Arabidopsis thaliana: one gene and its partners. The protein of the gene in region 3 interacts with the protein of the main gene of each other region in a pairwise test. Each region holds a gene or a part of one and is shown on either strand. Other genes may lie near its edges.

What was found. Proteins that work in one complex are often made in the same cells at the same time.
Region 1: the proteins of BEE2 (region 3) and AT3G06590 interact in binary tests that used the Arabidopsis thaliana proteins (3 or more experiments, as listed by UniProt).
Region 2: the proteins of BEE2 (region 3) and PAR1 interact in a two-hybrid assay, tested with the Arabidopsis thaliana proteins (2 studies listed by BioGRID).

The regions. Positions count from the first base shown.
Region 1 is NC_003074.8:2,052,228-2,057,393, forward strand, and holds AT3G06590 (basic helix-loop-helix (bHLH) DNA-binding superfamily protein), read right to left. Parts: upstream 3,440-5,166; 5' UTR 3,086-3,439; coding exon 2,420-3,085; 3' UTR 2,416-2,419; exon of another isoform or gene 1,462-2,415; 3' UTR 852-1,461; exon of another isoform or gene 773-851; 3' UTR 520-772; downstream 1-519. UniProt on the Arabidopsis thaliana protein: bHLH transcription factor that binds DNA on specific sequence 5'-CANNTG-3' in target gene promoters. Negatively regulates brassinosteroid signaling.
Region 2 is NC_003071.7:17,835,897-17,839,637, forward strand, and holds PAR1 (phy rapidly regulated 1), read right to left. Parts: upstream 1,723-3,741; 5' UTR 1,292-1,722; coding exon 935-1,291; 3' UTR 520-934; downstream 1-519. UniProt on the Arabidopsis thaliana protein: Atypical bHLH transcription factor that acts as a negative regulator of a variety of shade avoidance syndrome (SAS) responses, including seedling elongation and photosynthetic pigment accumulation.
Region 3 is NC_003075.7:17,241,583-17,245,845, reverse strand, and holds BEE2 (BR enhanced expression 2), read right to left. Parts: upstream 2,264-4,263; 5' UTR 2,148-2,263; coding exon 1,857-2,147; intron 1,772-1,856; coding exon 1,592-1,771; intron 1,500-1,591; coding exon 1,293-1,499; intron 1,209-1,292; coding exon 1,068-1,208; intron 977-1,067; coding exon 881-976; 3' UTR 550-880; downstream 1-549. Other genes in the region: AT4G36550 (ARM repeat superfamily protein), read left to right, coding at 1-446; AT4G36530 (alpha/beta-Hydrolases superfamily protein), read left to right, coding at 4,076-4,175, 4,257-4,263. UniProt on the Arabidopsis thaliana protein: Positive regulator of brassinosteroid signaling.

The sequences.
Region 1 (5,166 bases), on a different chromosome or scaffold from region 3:
ATGATGTTATTGATTAAAAAACGTTTCCTAATTCTTCTAACACTCTATGAATTCAGATAACACTAGATTAGATAAGTGTCCTAGTTTGAATTTAAATTTAATCGTATTTTACGTGTGTGAGAGTTATATCCTATATGTAAAAACTAAAAGTAATTTGAGCTATAAGATAATACTGAATGGATAAATAGTAAAAGTTTTCCGGTTAACCGTTGTTTTTAATTCCTGCTTAATTAGATTGAGTAACAAATATGCAAGTGTTAACGTGTAGCAACATGGAGGTATTACATACAATGTAGATAAAACTATATCTGAAAAAGATATTGATTTATGTGTAAATTAAAAATAATAAAAAATTTCTAAAAGATGATTAGAGGAATAATATATTACATTGTATATATTAGCCATAGGGTTTAGGGTTCAACTAGATTTTTAAGGTTACTCTTATCGTTTATTTATTTATTAATGATATATATATATATATATATATATATATATATATATATATTTATTTATTCACACAATTTAATAAGCAAACGTCTAAGTTGAAACCCTAAATTAAAATATCATTTCTCAAATCACTATAAAATGGAGTCTCTCCCAGAAGAAGTGGTTGTGAAGGAGATCTTGCCACGCGTGGCTCTTTCTTCACTCAAGCTTGTTCAACTTCAGCCTCGTATGCAAATCATTACATAATCTCTGCAACGACCCTCAAGTTCTCGAACACGTCTGCCTCGACGAAATCAAAACCGCAAACGATGACCTATAACTAAAGCTAGAGTTTTCTCAAGAGATGCAGAGAGAGCGGAAACACGGAAGCAGTGGCTCGTGAAGGAATTGTGAAGTGCTTTTACCTATTCAGTAATATTGTTGATGAAGAGAAAGGGATCGAATGTTTGCAAAAGCCGCGTCTAAAGGACTCAAAGCTGCCTCATATCTCTGTGGAGTGATCTCTTTGTGTCGCGGTGGGAAAGTTCCGCAAAAGAGTATCGAGATTTTCAAGTCTTCTTTTGTCGTGAAATCTTCGGCACTGAAGACTAGGAGAAACCTCCAGGAGTATCTGCAATGGATGGTTTCCAAATATAAAAATCATTTTTTGGGAATTAGGCTCCTTGGTTATAACTGTGTTCGACATGGACATAATTTTATCTGGGCAAGTTTCTCTAATAGTGTGTTGGCGAGTTTTAATCCAATCTTCTACAATGTTGCGGTTTATTTTCTCTAATAGTTTGTCCCTTTTGGCAATAATAATATAACTTATGAAATATGTGATGAAAAGAGTTGTCGTGCAAGTTAATAAGAGAAGGCTTAAAAAGAAACAAGAGGACAAAGGCATGGCCACTCCCATGTGCCTCCTCATACTTTTAAGGTCACTTCTCTCTATGTTTTAAATATTTTTTGCTTTTGTCGTCACTTGTCTCTTGTTGTCGCCTAGTCATACTCCAGTGTTCTTAAATCATATCCCTATCACAGAAATTCGTATATTAATTAAGCTAATGAATCAAACTCCTGTTAAGTCAATTTTAACTACAGGTTATTCAGTTTTGCTTCGTGATGAATATTGAAGGATATACAGTACGTGCAGAACTGCAGATTAGTGTTTGAGAAAACTTATTTAGTAACAGGGAATTATTAGCTAATTTAATCTTTTTTCTTCTTTTTTTCCTTTATATTTCTTGTGAAATAAGGAAAAGAAAAGAAAAAGAAGACAAACAACCTATAAGTATCAAAAATGGGATTCAAAGGAGGGGCAATAAAGCGAGTAGATGATTGAGTGACAGATCAATCTCATCAGTCATCATTCAATTCAATGAATTTGAATGTATCATTCCATTCATTCTCTAATGCATCATCACATGCTACCATAATCAAAACTAAAGTTAACCCATTATCTTCCTACATCTACTATAATGTATTTTAAAATTCTAAATGGGAAATTATTTTCTTTCCACTTTATTGCAGTACAAATCTATTTCATGTTGAAATTTCATATAGTACATAAGATGATATAGTACAAAGCCATATTGAATGAACTAAAAGTACATCAAAAGTTCCATATTGGTTTAGTTATCACATACTATGAGGTTAAAAGAGGAACCCATTTTCCCACTAACTCCAATAACGAATTCATCAATCTTATTTTTTTTTTGATCAACAACGAATTCATCAATCTAAATCAAATAATCCAACTACGATTTGAACCCTAATGGTAAAGACTTTATTAATCAATCATATACTTAATTTAGACTTGAGGATCGTAAAAATGGGAAGACTCGGTTCAAAATTTACTTTTACTTGTAGCAGAGAAGAATCAGCGGTTGGGAAGAGTAGTTACAGATTATAATCAAACCGAATCTTCTATATACACATAAGCTGTGAAAGATCGAGAGATGGTAGAATTAAAAAGACGATTTTAACCTCATCAAATCGGTGGAGGAGCTGAGCCGTAGGAGGAGAGAAGCTGAACTAAAGAGTTCATGGCTCTCACTTGCATCTCCAGAGCCTGAATATAATCAGTTGCTTCTTCTAGAATCACCGGTACGGATTGTTTACCGCAACCGGGAACTAACCGGCCTAGAACACGTACTTTCCGGTTAACATCCGGTATACTCTTCTTATTCAATCTCAACACCGACACTCTCCGTTTTCTCGATCTGTTGCTGCTGCTACTAACCACCGTAGTCATGGCCGGAATCGCCATCGTAGCTCGAGGACGTCTCTGTTTACGAAATTTCAGTTTGATCCGATTAGCTAAGATCGCTCTGCTCCAGAGTGTTCTTCCCCGAGCGGAAACGGCAAGAGCTCGATCGGCGGCTTCACGGACGGCCTTTCCTCGTTTCTGAGCCGTTGGAGATGATGATGTTGAGGCGGAAGAGTTGAGGCGGACTTGTTGGAGCGCTTGGAACAGTTTGGCTGAGTAGATCCGTTGTTGCTTCTCCGATCGCCATCGCGCGTGAATCTCACCGGAGACGGAAGATGCGCTTGAACGAGACGATGCGGCGGATGAAGCAGAGGATCTCTTCTTTCTCCGAACGAGATCTGAAGTAGTACTCGTCGGCGGTTCAATATCTGAGATCAGAGACGCCATAACCAAATAATTGGCTCTGATCTCCGCAGTCGTATTGAAAGAGCTACAGAATCCGAATTTATCTGAAGTTGAGCGGAAGAAAGTTATGAAATTGTGGAGAATAATGGAAGGGAGAAGAAGAGGAAGATATATAAAGGGAGAGAGGTATCAACTATCACGAGACGTAGCAGTTAACAAACGGCCCCGTTTTAGATGTAGCAGTTAATAAGCGGCGTCGTTTTGTCAATTTGTTTTTTAGTATTTGTTGTTTTAGCCAGATACGAAAGTGGCATTTGTAATGCATGATAAAGAGAATTCGTGAATACCACCAAGAAACAAATAATTTCATTCTCAACACTAGTGGAATTGATAAGTTATAATTAACTGGCTCTATAACCTCTAATGGTTTTGGAATAATGAGAGACAGAGACATCATTGTGACTTGAAGCAATGTTTATGAATTATGATTATACTTAAAAAGTTTTGTTCCACGTTGATTAGTTCACAATTATTTTTTTAAACTTACCCTCTTGACAGAGATTTTAGAAAGAAATTTATATACAAAATTTCTTACAATCACGAGTTTTCGATCTTTTGTAGACATAATCTAAATAGAGAGTAAAATACATAATAGAAATGCTACAAAGATCCTAATGTGGGTAGAGCATCCATAACGATAGTTTCCAATCAATTTAGGGTACAATCTTAATTACTAAATTAGCTTATTGATATCTAAAGATGTTTACGAAAAGAGAAAACAAACAAACTTGTATAAAGGCCGATACTTTGGTGGAATGGAGGAGGAAGGTAGATTCAAACGAAAGGATGACGTGTCATATTACTATTGGAGAAATCCATTTACGACTTATAGTGGTCGTTTAATGGACTGACAGGGCAAAAAGAGAGGGGCCAAAAACTCAAAACTTTGGATTTTGTATTCAGTGCAATGATTTCGTAAATATTGGAATTGTATTTAAAATACTACTTTACGCATAAAGTAATATACCAAACGAAATGCATGTGCGATGTAGGGTTAGTGGCACTGCCTCTCTTTACGGCTTTTTTTTCTTTCCCTGTAAAGAAAAGATCACTGAAATTAACTCCTGTATTTTATCAAAAAAAAGTTTTGTATGTGTATCTATCAATATGTATGAATAAAATTTCATTAAATTTTGTGTATATGTATAAGTAGATATAAGATTAATAGATTGTTGGGTAAAGTATAAGGGAGTGGCGTCATTTTATTCATATATCCTGCTGAAAAAAGGAGCTTCTGAACTTCTCCATTGGGTTAATTCATATATAAATAAAGCTAGCTACGTTCAAACTAATTTTCTAGAAAAGTTACTGTTAGTTTGATTTTTGTTTGTACTGTTCACTATGTTGAGTTTGATCAGCAGTTAAAATGGAAAATACCTATCTTAGTTTATGTTAGACATAAAAGTACCACAATGGTATATATACTGTATTAAGATGTTTTTAGGCGGGTGGAAAGGATGTTAGAAACAGAGCGCAATGCGCAATGCTTCATAGATAATAGTATTCATTTAACCTAAGGGCTAAGGGTTAATAATTGTGTCAGTAACGTGGCATATTCTCTGTACCTTAGAAAGTTATAAGCTAGAATGATTCCACATGACAAATTAATGATAAGAAACAACATATCCAATTATTCACTAAAGTGTCACTTACAATAAAATAGTTTATCTACTTCGAATTTAAGAATATATTTTCGATTTAGATACTTAAATTTTCTCAATTTATACTTTAGAATCAAGCAGAAAATTTGTTGGTGAAGAACAAAGCAACCTAATGAATTATCTGTTTTACGAACTGAGTCAAAGAAACCACTATTCGAATCTGCGATTTGCGTAATTCTCATGGGCTCTACTTCAACAACAACAACAAAAAAAACATGTATCACAAAGGTTGCTGGCTGTAATTGTTATCTTCCATTAATAGAAATAAATATATTTCGGATTGGAAGTTCAAATTTGTTACTATGAAAATTTACTACTGTAAATCATAATTCCAGCTATCTAAGGTTTTCAAATTTATTTGCAAATCATTATGTATCTCGGATGTAATGAGTTTTTTCTTAT
Region 2 (3,741 bases), on a different chromosome or scaffold from region 3:
GTAATCTTTTAGGCTTTTAGCCCATACAGGATGTGATTAGTTATAATCTATCAATGGTTTTTATTTTAAATTTTGGTTTGGTAAAGGATGTTGAAGTTAACATTATTGATTACAACTTCGTACTATACGATGTTCAACCTTAAATTCATCTTTGTAATGTAATTTGGATAGAGAGTAGATAGGGTTGGTAAGAAAATTATATCTTCCCCGACTTTCCGCTATGTGTGGAGTAAATAGTTCCATAGAGTTCGATATAGCTGCATTGTTGTGGGTCAGAAATTACGTTATAATGAATACTAAAACTGATATTGTTTTTTTTCTAGCGGCAAATGTGTTTAAATTTCTGTGTAGATGCTAGCTCTAGTACTTACACGACTAAAAAGATTTGTCTTGTATATGTATGTACAAGGAATATACATGAACTCTATTGTTGGACCACGGGAACTCAAATCTAGTAAGTTCATCATAAGCTTAAATAAATATCGACCGACTTTGGAAATCTTTGTTATAATAAAGCATGTGAAATGAGCTCATCCAGATTTAAAAATGGGCCACGTAACATTAACTTTCTCAATATCATTAATGTCAAATCTCATATGCAAGTGAAACCTCGTGATCCAATTTAATATCTATACTATATGGCGTCCTACTAAAATAAGTTATATAACTACATTAATTAATGCTAATTTTCGTTAATGAACACTTCTCATAACCGTGAAACGGCTTAATAAATAAATCAGAACATTAAAATTAAAGATTATACTCCTACTAAAGAAAAAAAAAATTCGAAGAAAAAAATGTTGAGTCTCTTTCCTCATATATCAAAGCTAAAATCCCATGTTATAAAAAAGGAAATAAAAGATTTGAAAAAAAAAAACGTTTTTTTTTGTTTTTAGGAATCGAAGAAAGAAGAGCAGTCTTGGTGTGATAATCTTCAACCTCCGAACTTCATGTCTTCTTGATCTATGCGTTGAAGAAACGAAGTAAGGACTTTAATGGTTTTGATCTGACATTGTAGAGACAGAATGTAACCAGCTGTCTCTTCGAAGAGCGCGTCCACACCAAGCGCCGCTCCTCCGGGGATAATCCTCTGCAACGCCTCAATCTTTTCCTTGACCTCATCTTCTTCTTCTTCTGCTTCTTCTCGGTCTTCACGTACGCTTGCGTTAGTCTCTGACAATCTCCGTTTGGTTCTGCGCTCGAAACCAGCGGCGCGTGATTTCACGGTGGCTGAGCATGACGGTGACAGAGAGCGTCTCGTGGCGTCGGGAGTGGCTAGAGTTTCTTCCATTGAAAGAAAGAGAGAGATGAATGATGAGTCTGAGAGAATAATGAACAAGTAAGGAATGTGGATATGTGTAACTGTGTGTGTTATATATATATATATGAGTGATGATGGATTTAGTAGACAAAAATGTTGAAATGTGGTCGGTTCAACCTGATTTTATTTTGGTTTGTTGCGAGTTTAGAGACAATACTCTATCGGTTTGATTTGGTTTGCTATGCTTTATGTTACATTGTTTGCTTACATTAGTGAAAGGTTCGGTTATGAACGAATTTTGGTTTGGTTTGTCTATAAAAAACGATGTAAAAATTGAAACGATATAAAATAAATTCTACATTTAGAAATTGGGAAATGGTTAAATGAGCGGTATTGCCATCAAAGCTGGGTCCAGTTGTGCGTTATTTTTAATTTTATTATCCTCGTGTTTCGGATTGTGGAGATTTATTTAATTATCTCTTACTTTGGTTGCTTCCACAGATTTGGATCTTTAGAAGAAGAGCTTTCACGCGCCATGTCGACTGGTTTAGACTTTAGTGGACTCATCACTCACTTAAGTGGATCAACCTCGCATCTAGATTGGATTTTTTTGTTTGTTTGATAAATGAGATTTGGCACGTTAAATTTGTTTGTTTAAGAGCTAGACGTTTGACATAGTAATTAACTAATTATACAACAATGCTTTATTATTGTATTAGGATATGCGTTGTTAATACAAGCCGGATTACTTTTAGCAAGTGTCTCATTTATTTATCAAGCCGGATTACTTGCTAAAATATTATTCGAACTTTAATTTAAACTCTAAATGGTTTGTGATCTGGTTTAGCCATAAATGTAATAGCTGCTATACGTTGTTTTGCATAGTTACCAGTCTTATTTTCTACAACAAGAATAAAGAGTATAAACTATTTTATGTGAGCTTAAATTTCCAAAAGAAAAATTCAAGTAGACGACGACAAACCCTATAGTTATGCACTTATGCTTATAGGCCATTCGGGTGGTGCCTGGTAATGGACTAATGCCTGATGGTATAAGAGTAAGTTTTGTCGTAATTACGTAGTACGGACGAAATGAAAACGACCACGCGCGTGGAGATAAGGAAGGAAAAGAAGAAGGATACAGTGAGACACTACTTGCATGGGAACAAGGAAGAGAGAGGAGAGGACATGTGCGGGTCACATGAATATCTCCATCTTCAAAGCCCCATTCCCATGTGCTTCCTCCTCTCTATACATTATGTACAGACTGTAATATAGTATTATTATTAGATGGATGAGATCAAATAGATCCTCTAAGAGATAGTGAACTTGTTCGTACAATTGAGGACCTAATCCTACTAAGATCCACATGATATCTATCGGGCATGGTGGCCACGTGTCAACCCTTTTTTGGGTCCCCCCCACCTCAGTGACCTCCTAAATCTGTCCTTCATTTTTTTTTTGTCAACTCCTTTTTCTTATTAAAAGAAACTCCAATTAACATCCCATATTTCTTACCACGTAAAAACAACAATCTCAATATATCTATAATGTTAGAGAAATGGCCACTATATAACAAGAAGAAAGCCAAGGAAGTTTAGTGTTATTGGATTCGAATATAGTGTTACATGTTTCTAGCTAGAGATCTTTATAATATACATCTTTTATACATAAAACCGTTATAGTAAATCTTACTTAATGTTGGTTCCATAAATGAGCCCTCCGGTGCATTTCTTTTGTCAACTATATGATATAAAAACTAGATAAAGACTTAATAAAAAATAATTGCATTAAAAAAAAACAATTGCATTTTTGTAGGTCTTTAATCCAAGATTGCAAATTAACCTAAATCTACTCAAGAAAAAAAATTTAGTAAAGAATAATGATTGACATCTAATTAAAAGAAATAATGTATGGTCTTAATTAAGACAAAGATCAGGAACAGAATAACACATTTCTTTTACGTCTAGGGTTTTTAGTAATACTAAAAATTGTTAAGATGTTGTTTTAGAAGAAGAAGAAGATGGAAGAGAGAAATAAAGAAAGAGATGATGTTTCCAAAGAGGGGACGAAGGAGGGTTTGGTTTCTCGGGATTGAGATTTACAAAAATCGGGTGCCTTTCGCATTTCACCATCTACCAAACTGACACTCTCCCCAATTCTAGTATCTATTTATTTATGTATTTGCACTTACATTAAATATGTTACAAAAATAACACACTCGAAATTTAATTTTAGCTTTTAGCCAGCTTTCACATTCGTCGTCTTGGAATAATCAATTCTATGTCCTTTTGTATCTTGTTCGTTGTTTCTATTTTTTCCAAAATAACTTTTATTTAATGACGAAAACCTAAATATTTATATCTAGGAGGAGTTTGAGATGATTCCCTTTCACTATTTATTTTTGTTGCCACAAAAATAAAAGAGAAGAGTTTGGTTAAAGACAAGACAGTATATGTTTTTTTAAGAATTAAGAAAGGG
Region 3 (4,263 bases):
GCACCGAGAAAGGTCGGGGTTGTATCACCGAAACCCCGGATTGTTTAGCTTCCATAGCTGAATTACTCGAGTCAAATGTTCCCGAGGAGCAAGAGAACGCAATCTCCATCCTCCTTCAGCTCTGTGTGCAGAAGATAGAGTATTGCTGTCTTGTCGTGAGAGAAGCAACTGATATTTACTCATCTCTAATCTTGATATCCAACAATGGAACAGAGGAAGTAAAGGTGAGTGCATCAGAATTACTTAGAGCTCTTGTAGAAGTAGATTCCGACAAAGAAGAAGAAGAAGAAGTTTCCTCCAGACCAGAAGGAAGAACAACTGCTTCGCCTACTTCACAGGTTGTTACTCCAGTTACTCATCCGGAACCTGTTAAAATAACACCATCTCCCAAGAAATCTGGTCTTTTTGGATTCAATTTCTCCAGTCTCAAGAAGAAGAAAAAATAGAAAGAAGCATAAGATACATTATTAGGCTGGATTTAACTTAATTTTTGAGAAATTTTTTTGATTTTTTTTTTGGCTCTCTGTTTGTTGGCTTAGGTTTGTATATGTTGATACCAGGCCAAAAGGCATCTCCATTAATACAAGTGTAGTTGTAATTTGTGAAGGAAATAATTGTTACGACCACAAGAGTTTGATTCTACAATGTACAAAAAAAGGAATTGCTATGACCACAAGAGTTTTTTCTCTTTCTTCTACACATATACATATCCCCTGGAATATATGTAAATCACTATATTTGTATGAAGATAATAGATTGAGAAAGATCTTTGGATTGGTTTCCTCTGTCTCTTTTGGTTCAAATTTCAGATAAGATAGATAAATGGATAAGACAACAACAAAAAACCGCGATTTTTTTAATGAGGCTATCCCTAATTTTTTTACTTGAGGCTGAAGAAATTGGAAACAGAATCGGTTCTCAAGCTGTTGTAAAGACACTGTGAGTGAGTTTCCCAGCTTGATGATGTATGATCTTTCTGCAAAACAGAATAAGAAATAAGTTACTTCACGGACAAGTAACAAAAAATTGGGACTAATGAAAGATTTGTCTGAGATAAAGATTATTACAGCGCCGAGAGATGTGGTGTGGTCTGAGTTTATGACTGAGTAATCTAAAGATCCTTGCTGATGTAATGGAAAAGACCGAAAATCCGCCATGATTGACTGCTTCGAGTCACCTTCTGGAGGACCTGTGAAGTAAGCCTGAAACTAGATTCCAATATTTAACCAGTCAATAAATGCGGTAATTAAACTCTTGGTTAGTTCTTGGGATGAAAACTGACTATTATTCACCTGTTTTGCGGATAAATCATCGATATGACACTCAAGTTCTGGATTTATGACAGAGAGTTTCATCGACAAGAACTCGACTTGTTGTTGCAGAGATTGGACATAGTTGATGATCTCATCAAGCATACCAGCTTTTCCAGTAACTTTGTTGCATCCAGGAACAATATCTTGTAGACATTTCATCTTCTTGCTTATCTTTTCTCTTCTTGCCTGCCAAAATCCCACAAATATAAAACCACTCAAATCTCTAATGAAAGTAATTTCTCTGAAACCTATTTAACAACAACACTTTAGTTAATTACCCTCTCTGCTAAGCTATGTCTGTCGGTGGCTTCACCTCGTCTAGCCCTAACATGAATGTAATCTGGTTTCTGAATTTCTGAAGATGTCTCTGTGTTACTCATGTTTGATTTCCCTTTCATGCTTGGCTCTGTTTCATCCTCTGCTTTGATCTTCTTCTTCTCTCTCTTTTCTGTCTTACCCTAAAACCAATAGTTAAAACGATCAGAAACAATGTTTCAAACAAAATCTAAACTCTAATACTCAATACTTTCTTGAGCTACAAACCTCTGGTTTTCTCTTGTTCTGCAAGGTAATGGCTCTGCTGTGTCCATTATTCTTCACTGGCTCCATATGGAAGCTACTTGTCCTAGAAATGCAGCCATCAGTAGTATCATAATCCGGTCCGAATTCGGGAAAATGTCTGAAACTCTGCAGCTCATCATTGTTGTTTCCCAAGTAACTCTCAACTCTTTTGAGCTCTTCTCTCCCATCTGAGCCAAGTATCTGAAGAAACTCAGGTGAAACCATTTGTTGCTGTTGCAGCCACTTAAGCCTATCAAGTACAGACAAGTCCATGAAGAGAAGGTAAAAAAAAAACTTTAAAAGGCTCTTATCTTTTCTTTGAGGGGGTTAAAGCAAAAGAGAAAAAGAGAGAGTTAAGTTATATATGTGTGGAAGAAAAGTAATCCATTAGATATAATTATTCTTAGCTTTAAATAGAAAGCAACATTGACCCACACACATGAGATTCGAAATCTAGTGAGAGAGGGACAAAATTGATAAAAGTGGAGGAGGTTGGGGACAAAGAAGGTGAGATGAGAAGTTGTGGGGTCTAATTGACATAACCTACCATGTGGTCATGTCCTTATGAACATGAGATGAGGAGTCTCTTAAGTTAGTCTCTTTTGTGTCTTTTCTCTGTGTTTTTTTTTTTCCTTTTGGCCTTTCAAGTTTTTGAGAGGATCTTTTTGTTTGGCAACAATAATCAAACTTTGTAAAACTTAAGGTTCATGAGGGTATTATCATATAAATATCCTCTTTTGTAAAATCAAATCATTGAGTTTTTGGTAAGACAACCTTCTAATTGTACCAATTTGTTTTGTTAGAGAGAGAGAGAGAGAGGGTCTTTCTTAGGCTTGAAGGTGGAGAATGTGGGGAATGTGAATTATGAATCTTAACTTGCAAATGAATAGAAACAATGGTTTGAATCATGAGTGATATCATTTCAATGTCTTGTTGTGAATCTATACGTGATCCTTGTGACGTATGATTACTACCCTTCATCAATCCATAGATTACACCAATAATTTAAGTGGATTTCATATATTAGAGAGATGGCAACTCGATGAATATATGACATATTATAATATCACATATTATAATTCATAACTGATAGGGACACAAAATAAGCGACCTAAAGAAGAAAATGGGTTTGAAGATAAGTGATAGGAAGGTAGGCGACACCATTGCTTTTGATCTAAGTGTTTGGTCCCTATACTTTCTTTTTTTCCCTATTAATTATATATCTATACATTATCTATAATGCGTGACATAATTCAAGAGAATCAATACTATTTCGATTTTTTTTTTTTGAAGAACTTGAAAAAATATATCCAAAATTAGACCGATTTCAATAACACACCGTACAGGTTGCTTTGAGGTTTCCATTTCATTGGTTCTTTGGGAAACATCAATAACAAGCTGCTTATGAGATGAGAAGAGTAAATGCTTCAAATGCCAAAATACTTAACGTTGAGAGTATCTGTTGTTTTTTGCAATTTCCACAAAAAAGTTTTAGAAAGTTTTTGATTCAATGGGTTTCAGGATGTATTCTTTTGTAAAGAAGTTTGTGTCAATGCATTCATGTTGCAATTAGGCATTTTGTCGAATCACGAAAACGGAAGGAACACTCGTATTCGTCACATCAAAGTATAAGGCCCTAGATCGTGTGTATCACGTCTCTAATTTGCTTACTTACAAAACTGTGTTGTTTGCTCTTTTCACTAATGATGGATCTATGTGATAACAGGAATCACATTCCACGTCAATTATTTCTGTTTACTTCAAAAGAATGTCACACCTATGCAACAGTGAGACAAGATCTGAGGAAGAGAGTTAGAGAACATGAAATTTAAGAAAGAGTGCTTCAATATCTTGTTGTGTACAAATCAATAGTTCTGTTTGATAATATCAACTTGACAGCTTTTGTCAAAATGATGAGTAAAAAATCAGGATCTTTGGGACAAATACGGCTGAACCGGCCGGTTTAGCTAAGTCGAAATTACCGGCCTAATCGTTAAACCATAAAAACCGCAACTTTCAGAAACACTCTGCTTCGTCGAGCGGATTCGACTTGTCTGGCTCAGGGGTCGCCACAACTCTCCCGCAAGTTCACACATACACTCGGTGCTCAAAAAGTTTGTCCTTTTTGCATCTCTCAGTTCTGAAATATCTGGTTCTCTTGTCCTTGAAAATTTTACGAGGTTGTTCTCTGTGAATAATCGATGTCTGCTTCATGTGCTTTAACACCGTCTGTTAGGACAGAGTTATTCAGTTCATCATCATCTAAAAGATCAATCTTTCCTGCTAGAATTTGTCGACCAAGTAAGATTCAACTCCAACCTTTCATTTAGATGTGCCCCTAAGCCTGAATTATGAACAATCTGTTTAATCTTTGCAATGAAGGAAACAA